Sus scrofa: one gene and its partners. The protein of the gene in region 1 interacts with the protein of each later gene in a pairwise test. Links are inferred from orthologs where the notes say so. Each region holds a gene or a part of one and is shown in the gene's direction. Other genes may lie near its edges. The genes, in order: CREB5, KIFC3, FOSL2 and ADAMTSL4.

Region 1 (3,563 bases):
CTGTGAGTACTTAGCGGTTTCATCTGAGGAATGGGGCTTAGAAGGAAGGGGTAGACAGGTGGCTTTTACTTTTCCAACTCATATTCTTTTTGGGGGGGAGTTAAAGTTTTGCTGAAGTGCATTTGATTTACCAGGTTGTGATGATTTCTGCTGTAGAGAAAGTGATTCAGTCATACATACACACATATCTATTCTCTTTCAGATTCTTTTCCCACATGGATTATCACAGAATATTGGGTAAATTTCCCTGTGCTATACAGCAGGCCCCCACTGGCCAATCATTCCATATACCTCAGTGTCTATATGCCTCCAGTCCATCCCACCCCTGACCTGTCCGCTTTGGTAACTATAAGTTTTTCAAAGTCTGTTCTACAAATAAGTTCACTTATATCCTTTTTGAAAATTCCACATATAAGTGATATCATGTGATGTTTGTCTTTCACTGACTAGCTTCACTTAGTATAATAGTTTCTAGGTCCATCCATATTGCTGCAAGTGGTATTATTTCATTCTTTTTTATGGCCAAGTAATATTCCATTGTATATATATGTACCACATCTTCTTTATCCATTCATCTGTGGATGGACATTTCTACCTCATATTCTTATAGTTGGTTGTCATTTGCTTTTTTTTTTTTTCCTTTCCATCTGTATATTTTTATAATAGTGAAATTATAAAAATAGTTTAGAAAATCCATCAATACTATCCAGTATGTCAATTAAAAATAGTGATTTCAATGCAATTTTTCATAATTTTCTTCACTTTTAAGTTCAGAGATATCATTTAGAAACTATTCTTGAGTAAAGAAACATGTATGTGAAGTCCAGTGATTCATTCAGTTTTCACTTCTTTTGCTTACGTTCTATTCAAATGAGAGGGTTTTTTTTAATCACATGCTATTATGACTCCACTGTTATGGAATTGTTCTGCTTGTTCCTCCATCTCTACATGTGCATGGAGAGAGTTGTCTGGAATGCTGCTCACCCACCAGATATAAACAATGCATTTGGTTCATTGGTTGCTGACTTCATTGTACTTTTAAGCATTGCTTGAATTTTTTATAATGAGCATTTGTATAAAAACAATGAAATCATTTCTGAAAATTGGAGATGAGGAGCATCTGGTCACTTTTCTGTTTATTGTTATTTCATTTAGCGATTAACACAATACACAGCATCTACTCTTTCCCAGGGATTCAGTAAGCTTAGCTTCTTTGGGATTCGGGTCAGGCGCTGCTGTACAGCAGATGCTGCTCATCAAAGAGGAGGCAGGTGGGTTCAGTGGTTACTGGATCAGGAAGTAAGAATTGTTTTCAGTGCTTATGGAATATGAACATAGTCTGTCAAACTGTGCCCCCCCCCAGACTTTTTTTTTTTTAACAAGTGGAGGCTCTTTAGGTTTAACTACAGATTTCAAAGAATTGAATTGGTATTTATCAGTAGTTTTCTCTGTTTGGTTGAGACTCATTCGTATTGTGCATGCTGGAGCATGGCTGCTTTGATCATCATTTTAAATGCAACTCTTCCATTTTGCAACGATTACACCACCATCATCAATCAGAGAAGAACACAAATCAGGAGAGAACTTGGAGCCCCCTAGTAAATACTTTAAGAAGCCAATGTGAGCTTGCCAACTAGACTATCATCTCTGCAGAAGATACCTTTCCAAGGAGTAACTGTATTATAGAGTACTTTGTACGTTATGCCCCTCAGGATAGGATGATAATTGTCTGTGTACAAGAAAAAACAATGTTGAAGAAACTGTGACTAAGCTGATTACCAACTGATTCTTTAAATCGGGGCCAGATTCTGGGCCCCTTCTGGCCCGCTGCCTAATTTTGCACAGCGTAGGAGCTAAAAATGGTTTTTATATTTTTAAACGATTGGGGGAAAAAAATCAAACCGAGGATAATAGCATTTCATGTCATGCAAAAGTTATATGAAATTCAAATTTCCTGTTCCTGAATAAAGTTGTGTCGGAACACTGCATGGTCATTTGCTTACATCTCATCTATAGCTGTTTTTGTGCTTAAAGGGCTGCATTGAGTAGTTTTGAGAGACTCTACGGCATGCAATGATCAAAATATTTGCTATCTGACTTTTTATAGAAAAGTTTTCCGACCTCTGCTTAGGGGTTAGATTCAGGGAGAAGTTATTTGTGTACATGTCTGTTTGCTTGTTGGTGGATGAGGCTTGCGTGTTCAACTTGAACTTAGCCTGCGATGTCATCGTCAAAGAGGCTGTAGAAGGCTGCAATACATCATATTCTCCTACTTTCTTCCTTGCCTTCCTCAAATCAGAAGAACAGAAGCACATTACTGTGTGAGAAAATTAGATTATCTGAGGGACTATGAGAAATATCATAGTAACAAATGGCCTCCAAAAGTTGTATATTTCTAATCTAACTTGAAGACTTAAAATAACATGAGCAGTATTCCTGTATTCTAAAATTTGAAGTTATGTCCTCTGTGGGTCTTAGAAATCTTTTGGGAAACAAAATTCTTGCATTCTTCTGACTCATTATTAAGCACAGACCATATCAGATGGGCCCTTTGTTCAGGGGTATTATCGACTTGAATGGTTCTATTGGGTTCATGCTTGCGTTTGGCTGTCAATAGGTTATGATGAACAATTGGATAGCAGAAGTACCTTTTAGCAGAATGTCTAGGATATCCTGATCGTTTGCCATGACCGTTGAACTAAGTAACATTTACGGTTGATATTGACCCTCCTACCTACTATAACACGCATGAAAAATTGAAATTAATAGAAAAGCCATACTGCTACCAGTTTAAAAAAAAAGATGTTAACAGTAGTACCGGAAAACATTATAGAATTGAAAAGATGAGTCATTTGGATTCAAAATCCCTATCGTGTACTACGTGACTGACCTCTAGTTGTCCCCTCTTGTTTTGTTCTGTTTCAGAGGTTGAAGGCTGCGTTGACCCATCACCCGGCTGCCATGTCAAATGGGAATATGAACACCATGGGACACATGATGGAAATGATGGGCTCCCGGCAGGACCAGACGCCACACCACCACATGCACTCCCACCCACATCAGCACCAGACACTGCCAGCCCATCACCCCTACCCGCACCAGCACCAGCACCAGCACCCAGCACACCATCCTCATCCTCAACCCCATCACCAGCAGAACCACCCACACCATCACTCCCACTCCCACCTTCATGCACACCCAGCACATCACCAGACCTCGCCACACCCACCCCTGCACTCCGGCAACCAAGCACAGGTAGACCTTTTTCATGACTCTTTCCTCCTTCATGTTCAAAGTACAGGCTCTAATGTGGGCTCATTGGCGGCAACGTTGTTTGACAAGTCCAGGTGTTCTATCTGACACTCTGGGGGGCTCTGTTCATTACCTAGGAGGTAACGGTTACCCATAAGACCCTACCAGATCATAGTTGCTAGAACGAATACAGTGAATATCAGGTCTAGTGTCTAGGGGAAAATGTAAACTTCAAGTTCTCCAAAATCTATTTTGGCAGTGTTTCGCAAAATTAACCCTAAAAATAATAATACCAATGGGAGGATGAAGAA
Region 2 (3,563 bases), on another chromosome or scaffold:
ACCACTCCTTGGAGCATCCCTTAGGAGCTTTTGTGATTCCCTCTTTGTATACAAGGAAATCAGCACAGGGACGTCACAGGGAATTTGCTCAAAACGGCATGGCCAGCGAATGGTCCACCTCGGACCTGTCCACCTCTGAAGCCTTTGCCCCAGGGCCCCTGGCAGGCTACCGGGTGGCTAAGGGCTGGAGTATTTATGTACTGGGTGTGGGGGGGTGCTGGAATACCCCTTGTTCTGACCTAGGGCCTGGTCAAGCTTGAGATGCCACCCATTCACTGCACAGAGGTCAAGGGTGCACCTGCTCTGGGCCAGGTGTTATTTCAGACCCTGAGGATGTGCTCTGGGCCCGCAGAACCCATCCCTGACCTCATGGTGCTCACTTCAGTTGCGGGAGCACACAGTGATCATTAATACCCAGGGAACCCCCTCACTGCCCCTTTACCCAGGCTGGGGAGGGCGGCTGAGAGCCCCTGAATATCTGACAGTTGGGAGTGTTGGGGGGAGGGGTGCTTCCAGGAGGAGGCCAAGCTAAGGCTGAGACCTGGACTGGGAGCTGGAGTGGAGAGGTGAAGGGAAGGTGGGCCATGCTGGCTGTTGTGTGGAATTTTCATTCCAGTAGCTCTGGGATCTCACCCTAGCAAGGGGGTGACACGGTCAGATCTGTGCCTCAAACACCCCGGTGCCTGCCCTGTTGCGTGTGCCCATTCAGTGTGGTGCCAGTTGTCCACCTTCCACCTTGTCTGCCCATCTGATGTACAGGCCCTGTCCTGGCATTCTCAGTGCCTTTCTAGAGTGATAGACCAAGCTCCTTGTTGTGTATACAAGGAAACTGAGGTCCAGGTGTGTAAAGAGTGTCCGTTTTGTATCCCACCCACACTGGGTGCAATGTCTGAGCCCCACAACCAACCTTCCTTCCATGGCCCCAAAATGAGGCTCCTACCCTCAACTGGTTTGCTCAGCCAGAAAATGTATTGATAAATGAATTCATACTGTAGTGTGAGTGACTGATAACAGCTTTGTGGGCCACTTTGCCCTAGTGGGGCCTTGCTTAGAAGGTGGGGAGCTCCTGAACCACTAGCCTGCTCTGGACAGCGGTGGACACCAGTGTAGAGGCAGTCTGGTCTCGACCTGACCTGTACCCCTCTCTCTTCCCCCACCCAATCCAGGGAACATCCGGGTGATTGCCCGTGTCCGGCCAGTCACCAAAGAGGATGGGGAAGGACCCGAGGCGACCAATGCCGTGACCTTTGATCCCGACGATGACTCCATCATTCATTTGCTGCACAAAGGAAAACCTGTCTCCTTCGAGCTGGACAAGGTCTTCTCCCCGCGGGCCTCACAGCAGGACGTGAGTGTGGCCGTGCGGCGGGGAGAGACAGAGCATTGGAGGGAGGGGGAGATAGTCACCCCACCTGCAGAGGGAGAGGTGGTGGGGGCTGGGCAAAAAGAAGCGTAAGAGAGGGGAGACAGAAAGGAGAAGCCGGGGACCCCACAGTGCCCTTCTCCTCTCCTCTGGAGGAGAGAAGAGAGTGGGAAGATAAAAGTGAAGGCTTCAGAAGCCTCTGCTTAAGGAGAGAGCCATACATAACCTATGACACTCATATGGCCCCGCCCACCTGCATAGCCACACCCACTCCTGGGCCCATTCCACCCAGTGAACCCTCTGCTTTCATAGCCACACCCACTCTTATGGCCCCTCCCACCCACGTGGTCCCCACCCATATTCAGCCACACCCACTTTGGGGGCCCCTCCCATGGTCCGTCCCACTCAACCTGGCTCCGCCCATCCACGAGACTCGGACTTGCCGAGAGGCAGGCCCGCTCCAGTCAGGAGCACCTCCTGTGTCAGTGCCAAGGGTCTCCCTAGGGAGTCCCACGCTGCCCCTCAGGCCTCAGTGAGGAGCGCTCAGCCTGTGTGAGCCATGTGTTCTCATCTCTGCCAGGGCCAGCCTGGGGAGGCCAGTCCTGCCCATGCCTTGCCATCCCCTTCCAGGGTTTATCTTTGCCCCTGTCTTTTGTTGTGGGCTGGCAGGCAGGCCCGTGGCGGTGCCGGGCATATGCTGGCTCTGCCATCATTTTCTGACCCATCTTGGGAGGAGAGAAGCTGGGGAGGGCTCCTGAGTTCCCGGGCGGGGCGGCCCCTGCGTCCGAATCTGGTGGGCAGTCCCTTCAGTCACTCAGCAGTGAGACCGCCCACTGATGCCGGCGTCAGTGACCGAGTAGTCATGGATTCCTCCAGAGTGAGCTGGTTGCCCACAATAGCATGTGCTGTGGGGTTGCTGAAGCACAGGGGGCGGGGTCATGAGGAAGTTGCTGGTAGGGGCCCTTGGTCCTGGCAGCCCCACGCCCTCCATCGCATGTCCCCCCCCCAGGTGTTCCAGGAGGTGCAGGCCCTGATCACCTCCTGCATCGACGGCTTCAACGTCTGCATCTTCGCCTATGGCCAGACAGGGGCTGGCAAGACGTACACGATGGAGGTGGGTGCCCACTGCATGGGGCAGGGGTTCAGAGTGAAGACCCCCCCCCCACTGCCACCGTGTTGTGCCTCGCTTGGTCTTCACGGCCACCTTGGAGCAGGGCCCCACGTTACCCTGTTAGCCGTGGGGCACAAGCCCAACATGGTCCCAGTGGGTATCGGGGCGGGGGAGGTGTGCTGGCAATAGCCTCTGGCCTCAGAGGGGTCTTGGCCTGGGCTCAGAGTCCAGGGCAGATCGCTGCGGGCGTCTCTCAGGACTGGCTTGATTTCACTCAAACACATTTATTGGGCTGCTGCTGTATGGCGCTCCATGTGGGGGCTCTGGCGTGTCAGCATGAGGGAGGGTGCATCTCTGTCCCCCAGGAGATCCTGGCAGTTGGGGGAGACCAGCCAGTGAAGCTGTCCTGGGCACCCAGGTCTTACCTGCTGCTCCCAGGGCCTCAGCTCCGCACCTGCGCCACGCCCCCCTCCGTGGGGTGTGGCTGGGAATGGGGGTGTTGAGAGGAGGAAGGCTCTGACTATAGATAGAAGTGGAAAGCAGGCCCCAGCGGTATCTTTGGTTTGTTAGCATTTCCCTGGCTCTTGGGGGGTAGTGCTGCTGTGGGATTCTCCCGGTAGGGGAGGTGGGCCGGTGTCCCAACAAAGACAGTAAGAGGGCCCTGCTGGCCCAGGCTTTAACATCCTCTGGGGGGGACTGACATGGTGGTCCCTTCTCCTCCAATCCAGACCTTCTTTTCCCTCAATTCTGGGATTGATGAGACTGGTTAGCGAGGGGCAGGCCAAGCCAGATTGGGGGTGGGGTGCAGCTCCTAGGTTCCCGCTCTGTCTTGGGTGCTTAGAGTTTTTGGGTTTTTGGGGGTTTTTTGTTTTTTGTTGTTTTTTTTCTTTTTATGGCCACACCTGTGGCATATGGAGGTTCCCAGGCTAGGGGTCGAATTGGAGCTGTTGCTGCTGGCCACAGCCACAGCCATGCCAGATCTGAGCCATGTCTGTGACCTACACCACAGCTCCCAGCAATGCTGGATCCTTGACCCACTGAGCAAGGCCAGGGATCAAACCTGCATCCTCGGGAATACCAGCTGGATTT
Region 3 (4,327 bases), on another chromosome or scaffold:
GAACCGCCCGTCTCGCTCTTCAGGACTGTGATTATTTTCTAAAACCCTGCGCAGGGGCCCGCGTGGCCGCTCTCGGGGGCCCCGCCCCGCGCCCCTTCCCAGGGCGGTGGAGAAGTAGGGAGGCCGTGGCGCGCTCTGGAGCCGGCGAGGGAATCCCTCTCCCTCCACGTCACCCGAAAGCGAGGGAACCCGCACGCGCGTCCTCTAACGCAAATGACCATCTTTGGCAACAGGCGCCGGTGGAACAGACCAAGGGCGCAGGGCCCAGGGGGGTGGGCGGGGGTGGGGAAGGGCCGGGCTGCCTCGGGTCCCCCAAACCGCGCTCACAGCGCTCCCACCCCCTCCACCTCCTTCCTTCCTCGCGCAGGGTGTGCGGCTGGCGTCAGCGCGGCCGGGAGCCCGGGCAGGGAGGGGAGTGCTGCGCCCGCCTCCTCCCGCGCCTCTTCCTCCTCTTCCCCCTCCTCCTCCTCGGCCCTCTCCCTCCGCCTCCCCTAGCGCTCCTCCCGCAAGGTGGAGTCTTGGGTTGACGTGAGGTACAGGGGCTGGAGAATAAAGAGTGGAGTTGAACTCGTGCCATTGTAGTGACTCATCTCGGGCAGAGCGCTGGGGCTCCGAGCGAACCAGCGAGCAAGCAAGCGGCGCTCGGCGGGGACAGAGAGAGGGAGAGAGAGAGGCGCGGACGGGCGAGGCGGGCCCGTCCGGGAGCGGGCGCCGGGGAAGGGGTGCAGGTCCGGGCGCCGGAGCCGCCGCAAGGGGAGCGGGCCCGCGTCCCTCTCCGCGTCAGCTCAGCTGGAACCCCACGGGCCGCGGGGCGGGCTGCCTTCACCTAATCAAGTGTCCCTGCCGCTCGAAACTCCGGCGGCGAGTCGGCCACAGGAAGTTTATTCTCAGCTCCTTTTCTAAAAGGAGGAAATAGAAGTTTCTCCAAGCGGGCAGCCTTTCTTTTCGCCTTTTTTTTTTTTTCTTCCTTTTTTGCCCTGTCTGAAATTGGGGGCCCCCAGACCTGGCAGGCTTGACTCGCCGGGCTCCTATTCTTTTTTTAATTTCCAATTTTTGATTGAGCCGGCGGTCCCGGCTGGGCTCTGATTGCGCGCGGGGGCAGGAGGGCGCGCGCAGGGGAGGGACCGAGGGACGCGCGGACTTTTTAGAGGGAGGGACCGGGTGGACAACTGGTCCCGCGGCGCTCGTAGAGCAGGAAAGAAGTGCAGCGCTCGGCGCTCGGGGGGCACTGTTCTCGGAGTGCCGCCGCCGAGGGGGAGAAGCCCGGGAGCGACGCTTAGAGCCCCAGGCGCGGCCGGCAGGGAGCCAGCGCGCAGCTGCCGGTGCGCGGCCGCGGCGAGGGCGGGGGAAGAAAAACACCCTGTTTCCTCTCGGGCCCCCACCGCGGATCATGTACCAGGATTATCCCGGGAACTTTGACACCTCGTCCCGGGGCAGCAGCGGCTCTCCTGCGCACGCCGAGTCCTACTCCAGCGGCGGCGGCGGCCAGCAGGTAGGTGCGGGCCCCGGGTGCACCTGGCGCCGCGGGTGGACCCCCCGCCTTCCTCTCGCCAGGACTGCCTTTTTTCCCCCCCTTTCTTTTCCCTTTCTTGATTTGGCGAGAAAATTCTTGCGGCCTCCATTGTAAGTTCTAGATTTTCATCTTGTCCTCCTGACACCTCCTTTAACCTTCCCCCATCCCCCGCCAACACTTTTTTTTTTTTTTTTTTTTTTTAAACTAGAGCGGCGAGTGGGCTGGAGAGCCAACAAACCCTCGCCTTCACACTACATCCTATACAGACAAGCTCCTGGAATTGCAGGGCCTTTTCCCCAGGACCCTGTACCTCTCTCGCAGGAACCCCGTGGTTAGACCCCCCTCCAAAAAAAATCTTTGCACCCACGGGCACCTCCCGACATCCAGGGACCTTATTCCTGCGAAAAAGCCCTCTCTCCTTCGGTCTTCGTTCATTTCTGAAAGAACTTGGGGACTGGGAAAAATGGGCTCCTTCAAGTAATCCGGAGCGAGGGCGAGGGTTGTCGCTCTGGGAATCAGGTGCGAAGGTCAGGAAGGAGGAGGTCAGCCTTGATTGGCTCAGGCTGCGCCTTTCTCCCCCGCGCCCATCCATCTCCTGTTAGGGTCACAGAAGGAGCCTGCACAGCCGACCAGAAGGGGCGCCTTGGGGGTCTGGGAATATCTGGGGCCAGGACGCCTGCAGAGAGGGGACGGTGGGGGGGCGGTGGGGGCGGTGGATGAGACCTCGCTTAGGCTCCTGGGTGGTTCTGGAAGCCGGAAAACAACTTGTTTCTAAAGCAGGCGGACTGGTTTGCACCAGAGGGATTTTGCCTGAGATCTGTGTGTCTATAAATACCGGAATAAATACCAGAAAGGTGCTGCTGGGTTGGTGGTGTTCGTGGGGTGCCTGCCCTCTGCAGCCACCACTCCCCCCCACCCCCCGACCCCCACTCTTGGGAGGGAGCTGGCTTAACCAACAAGGTTGCTGGAACCTGAAGCCCGCCTCGGTCAGGATCTGCAGAGTCTCTAGGCAAGTTGGCTGTCTCGAGTTGCGCTGGTAAGATGATGATGGCTTTGGCTTCTATAAGCCAGCCAACCAGGAGGGCCTGGGGTGGACTTCTGGGGAGGAGGGACCCTGAGGGAGAATAAAATGGAAAGGGGGCTCTCTTTGGTATCTGAAGAGGGGTCTCTTATTCCAAAGTGGTTCCCCATACCTGGTGAGTCCTTAAAATGGCTTTTCTGTGTCTTCTTTTTACCTGCCCCGGTGTCCCCTTTAGCACCCCACTGTAGAGAACCTGGTTGGTGCATTGAGGGTACGGTCAGAGCACCCCTAATACTGAGCACTAAGGTGATGCATTTCAAGTCTTGTCCCAAAGTGTTTGATTTTTGTTTGCTCTCCAGCCCCATTGGTGGTTTGTATTGAATCCAGATATCATTAAGCAGCGGGTGGGAGTCATTTATACCCATTCCCTCAGTCTCCATTTCCACAGCACCCCCCCCCCCCATCTCCGTTCTCCGATGGGAAGGGAATCTTCTGATGTCTCATCTGCTCTTTTGGCTGCTGTTTCTATGGCAGTCATCACTGAAATGTTACAACGTCGCCGCCTGGCTTTGCTCAGACCCTGGGGCCTGGATGGGAAGTCCGACCGGACATCAGTGCCCCGATTGAATAATCTGTGTCACTAGGGCTTTGAGCCCAGGATGCAAGCGGAGGCAATTCCCTGTTTTGGAAGAAAATCAGACAGGAAACCAGTGCTAGGAAGAAGGAAGAGAACTCAGTCCAGCAGAGTGTAATGGGGCCTCATTACCAAAGCAAAAAGCAGCTGTTGGCTAATTCCTAGCATGCTGCAACACATGAGGATTTTGCAATTAGTAATAACTGCTGCACGGGGTTCTTGCATATATGCTTGCCCATTCGGCCCAGCAGCTTGAGTGAGGCACCTTTCAAACCGGAGGGATTGGCAAGGTAACTCAGCTTTGGATGAGTTTCTTGGCCTGTCCACTCTTGGGGGGTGGGTGGGAAGAGGGGAGGGTTTTCCCATCATCTCTCTGACTTGGAGCAGAGCTGTTCTGTGGTCCTAAGGACTGACGTGAGAGGTTTTTGTTACTTCACAAGTCTGGGCTACGACCCCACCCAGGCTCAAGGTAACTTTATTACATACCAGATAAAACCTGTAATCACTTTATTTCTCTTAGCTTCCTTTACGGGGAGAGGGAGACTTTTCCTGGCAGTTAGGGATGGGCCCTCCTCCTCCAGTGGCGTCTCAGTGGACCAAACCATGTAAGAGGGGTCTCTGGTTTTACCTTGGGCGAGTGAATATTATTTTTTCCAGCTTGCTTTGTTGGTGGGGTCTAATATTCCTGAGCAGTTTGTTGCTGTCCACCCCACACAGGGCTTTCTTCTCCTCTCTCACTTGGTAAAGTTTGATCTTAACACATGGCCAGGAGTCCCAGGGACTTGGGGGGAAGGGGGTGCAGATAACTCTTTGTTAAAAACCTCTGTTCTTGTATATGGCAGGAACTTGAAGCATGAAAAATATTTCCTGTTCCACTTATAGTTTTAATCTCAAAGGTTGGTCATGGGTGATTCTGATTTGTCACTAATAGTTGCACATACCTTCCCCTCCTGGCTTTTTCTTTTTATTGCTGTTGTTGTTTTTTCTCTCTCCTAACTTTCTTAGGAAAACACCTCCCAGATATATGCCCTGCCTGGCTGCTCGACTCTTACGGTTTCAGGCCCTGAGCATTACGCAATCCAGCCAGTTACACAAACATAGGTCATTTCATAACTTGTTTTCATCAGCTGGGCTCCCTTTTTAATGAAAAAACAAAACA
Region 4 (3,563 bases), on another chromosome or scaffold:
AACTGGGCCAGGTGTGAGGTGGGGGCTGGCTTCCAGCAGCCCCCACCTCCCTCCACTTTCCCTCAGAGCCCCGGCTGTGATGGGATCCTGGGCTCCGGCAGGCGTCCAGATGGCTGTGGAGTCTGCGGGGGTGATGATTCTACCTGCCGCCTGGTCTCGGGGAACCTCACTGACCCAGGGGGCTCTCTGGGCTATCAGAAGATCCTGGTGATTCCTGCTGGAGCCTCCCGGCTCCACATCGCCCAGCTCCGGCCCAGCTCCAACTACATTGGTGAGTTCCTGGCCTGCTGATTCTGCCCCTCACACCTCCATGCAGCCCAGCCAGCGAGTCAGCGCCCCTTCTGCCCTCCCTCGTGGGGATGGTGAGGAAGCGCAAGGGCTGGCGGTGTCTGGGGGTGTCTAGGGAAGCAGTGGCTGAGGGTGATGGGACTAACCTCGCATGTCCTGATCTGCCACCTCCAGCGCTTCGAGGCCCTGGGGGCCAGTCCATCATCAATGGGAACTGGGCTGTGGATCCCCCCGGGTCCTACACGGCCGGCGGGACTGTCTTCCGGTACAACCGTCCTCCTCGAGAGGAGGGCGCAGGGGAGAGTCTGTCTGCTGAAGGCCCCACCACCCAGCCTGTGGATGTCTACGTGAGTGTGGGGCCTGGGTCTGGGGAAGCGGCCCTGCGGGGGAGGCCTCTCCTCTGAGGGGAAAGCTCTGGGTCTCAGATGGGGAGAAGGCTGTTGGATGCCCCTGACCCCAGCCACCCGCAAGCACCCACTGGCTTCTCTCTTTTCTCCTCAGATGATCTTTCAGGAGGAAAGCCCAGGCGTTTTCTATCAGTATGTCATCTCTTCACCTCCCCCAGACCTTGAGAACCCGACCCCAGAGCCCCATCTCCCCCAGCTCCAGCCTGGTAAGATGTTGATCCCCAGACCCGGAAGGAGGAGGAGAGGCCAAGGGGGAAGCTCGAGGCAGTGGGGATGCATCTGATTTGTCTACACGACTCTCCCTGCACAGAGATTTTCAGGGTGGAGCCCCCACCCGCTTCGGCATCCCGGCCTGCCCGGACCCCTGGTACCCTCCAGCGGCAGGTGCGGATCCCCCAGATGCCTGCCCCGTCCCATCCCAGGACACACTTGGGGTCTCCAACCGGATACTGGAAACGGGTGGGACACTCTGAGTGCTCGGCATCGTGCGGCAAAGGTGAGACTTCATATAGCAGCCTGTAATCCTGGCACCCTTAGCCCAAATCCCTCACTTGGTGCTCCCGATCCCATCGCCTGGCTGGTGGGTCCACACCTTGACTCTGTCAAATCAGCCTGCAGTGACTAGGACCCCCTGACACTGGATGCTGAGCCGTCCCACCTCCTCTGGCTTTCATCCCCTTCAGGTGTTTGGCGCCCCATCTTCCTCTGCGTTTCTCGTGAATCGGGAGAGGAACTGGATGAACGCAGCTGTGCCATGGGTGCCAGGCCCCCAGCCTCCCAGGAACCCTGCCATGGCCCCCCGTGCCCACCATAGTGCGTATAATCCACCGGGAGGGTTGGGAACATAACAGCCACCCTGGGGAAACACGTCCTCGCACCTGCAGAATCACACCTGGACTCTGTGCTCAACACAAGATTTCTTGGCAACACAGAGATATTATTCAGCTAGAAAGGCTGACATTCCATAGATAGCAAGAAAACTGGCAGCCTGAGTCCTACCAGGAGCCCCACAATCCAAATGCTAAATATGCCCTCTGTCCTCTCCTCCCAACCCCGTCTGTCCACCCTTTCCCTGAATGTGGTGGCCCCACACGCGGCTGTTTCTGCCATCCATGTCTCTCTGTCTCTTCCCGCCCTGCCCATACCCATAGCTGGGAGACCGGCGAGTGGACATCCTGCAGCCGTTCCTGTGGCCCTGGTACCCAGCACCGCCAGCTGCGCTGCCGGCAGGAGTTTGGGGGCGGTGGCTCCTCGGTGCCCCCAGAGCGCTGCGGACATCTGCCCCGGCCCAACATCACCCAGCCCTGCCAGCTGCGCCTCTGTGGCCACTGGGAGGTCCGATCCCCCTGGAGCCAGGTGAGTGGACCTGGGCCCGGAAGCCTAGAGGAGTAGGTACCAGTGAGCCAGAACAGTGGTTTTTCCATCCCCATTTTAATCAGTAGCAACTTTTTTCAAACGAGATCTCACCAGTAAGTCAGCTGAGAGACTGAACCAGGGCTTGGGGGCCCAGAGCCCCATACTCTGCCCGCTTCTCAGCCCACAAACCCTGTAACTGCTGAGCCAGGGAGCAGAGGCAGATCCTGCTTCAAAAGCCCTGGAGATGGAGTTCGCGCCATGGTTCAGCGGAAACGAATCTGACTAGTATCCATGAGGACGCAGGTTCGATCCCTGGCCTCGCTCAGTAGGTTAAGGATCCGGTGTTGCCGTGAGCTGTGGTGTAGGTTCGGATCTGGCATTGCTGTGGCTGCGGTGTAGGCTGGTGGCTACAGCGCTGATTCTACCCCTAGCCTGGGAACCTTCACATGCCCCGGGTGCGGCTCTAAAAAGACCAAAAATCAAAAGAGCTGGAGGCTGGTGATGGAGCCAGGGAAGCTCAGCCCTCGCTGCCCCTGATTCTATCAGTGCTCCGTGCGGTGCGGGCGAGGCCAGAGGAGCCGGCAGGTCCGCTGTGTGGGCAACAACGGTGATGAAGTGAGCGAGCAAGAGTGTGCCTCAGGCCCTCCGAGGCCCCCCAGCAGAGAGGCCTGTGACATGGGGCCCTGCACCACGGCCTGGTTCCACAGCGACTGGAGCTCCAAGGTGGGCCCCACACCCCCTCAGCCAAGTCCCCATCCCTGGTGCCCCACATCCACCACACCCTCTCAGAGCCTCTCCAACTCGGTTAAATAAACTTTTATTGAGCAAGCACCTGCTGTATGCTAGATGCTGCTGATGCCGGGAACTTGGAGCTAAGTGAGGAAAACTTACATTAAGACCCTTGCCCCTGCCGGCAAAGTCTCCCTGTATCTGGCTGGTACCCCTGGGGGCATTCCCTATCCCCGGTCCAGAATGTGTCTGTCCTCAGCCCCCTCCTCTTCCCCTACCTGTCACAGCCCTCTCTGCTTCCCAACAGTGCTCAGCCGAGTGTGGGACGGGAATCCAGCGACGCTCTGTGGTCTGCCTTGGGAGTGGGGAGGCCCATGGGGTGGGCCAGGAGGAAGCAGGGGCAGGAGCCAGCGAGCAGACCTGTGCACCAGGAAGCCGCCCCCCTGACATGCGTGCCTGCAGCTTGGGGCCCTGCGAGGTGACGTGGTGCTGGTACACGGGGCCCTGGGCTGAGGTGAGCTGAGAACCTGGGAGGGGGCCCGTCAGTGGATTCCCTGTGGGGAGGTAGGATTAACCCCTGTTGTCCCTTCCCTTCCTCCCCATCAGTGCTCCTCGGAATGTGGCTCTGGCACACAGCGTAGAGACATCATCTGTGTGTCCAAACTGGGGACTGAGTTCAACGTGACTTCTCCTAGCAACTGTTCCCACTTGCCCAGGCCCCCTGCCCTGCAGCCCTGTCAGGGGCAGAACTGCCAGGACCGATGGTTTTCTACACCCTGGAGT

What was found.
Region 2: the proteins of CREB5 (region 1) and KIFC3 interact in binary tests that used the Homo sapiens proteins (3 or more experiments, as listed by UniProt). The two-hybrid records come from large-scale screens. The link is inferred for Sus scrofa from reciprocal best matches to the Homo sapiens genes CREB5 and KIFC3.
Region 3: the proteins of CREB5 (region 1) and FOSL2 interact in binary tests that used the Homo sapiens proteins (3 or more experiments, as listed by UniProt). The two-hybrid records come from large-scale screens. The link is inferred for Sus scrofa from reciprocal best matches to the Homo sapiens genes CREB5 and FOSL2.
Region 4: the proteins of CREB5 (region 1) and ADAMTSL4 interact in binary tests that used the Homo sapiens proteins (3 or more experiments, as listed by UniProt). The two-hybrid records come from large-scale screens. The link is inferred for Sus scrofa from reciprocal best matches to the Homo sapiens genes CREB5 and ADAMTSL4.

What each region holds. Positions count from the first base shown.
Region 1 is NC_010460.4:43,858,973-43,862,535, reverse strand, and holds part of CREB5 (cyclic AMP-responsive element-binding protein 5), read left to right. Parts: intron 1-2,925; coding exon 2,926-3,255; intron 3,256-3,563. UniProt on the Homo sapiens protein: Binds to the cAMP response element and activates transcription.
Region 2 is NC_010448.4:19,665,067-19,668,629, reverse strand, and holds part of KIFC3 (kinesin-like protein KIFC3), read left to right. Parts: intron 1-1,166; coding exon 1,167-1,348; intron 1,349-2,372; coding exon 2,373-2,477; intron 2,478-3,563. UniProt on the Homo sapiens protein: Minus-end microtubule-dependent motor protein. Involved in apically targeted transport. Required for zonula adherens maintenance.
Region 3 is NC_010445.4:110,839,914-110,844,240, reverse strand, and holds the start of FOSL2 (fos-related antigen 2), read left to right. Parts: upstream 1-1,524; 5' UTR 1,525-2,549; intron 2,550-2,575; exon of another isoform or gene 2,576-3,458; intron 3,459-4,327.
Region 4 is NC_010446.5:98,579,232-98,582,794, reverse strand, and holds part of ADAMTSL4 (ADAMTS-like protein 4), read left to right. Parts: intron 1-66; coding exon 67-271; intron 272-462; coding exon 463-635; intron 636-789; coding exon 790-901; intron 902-1,005; coding exon 1,006-1,191; intron 1,192-1,378; coding exon 1,379-1,508; intron 1,509-1,846; coding exon 1,847-2,051; intron 2,052-2,597; coding exon 2,598-2,774; intron 2,775-3,087; coding exon 3,088-3,294; intron 3,295-3,386; coding exon 3,387-3,563. UniProt on the Homo sapiens protein: Positive regulation of apoptosis. May facilitate FBN1 microfibril biogenesis.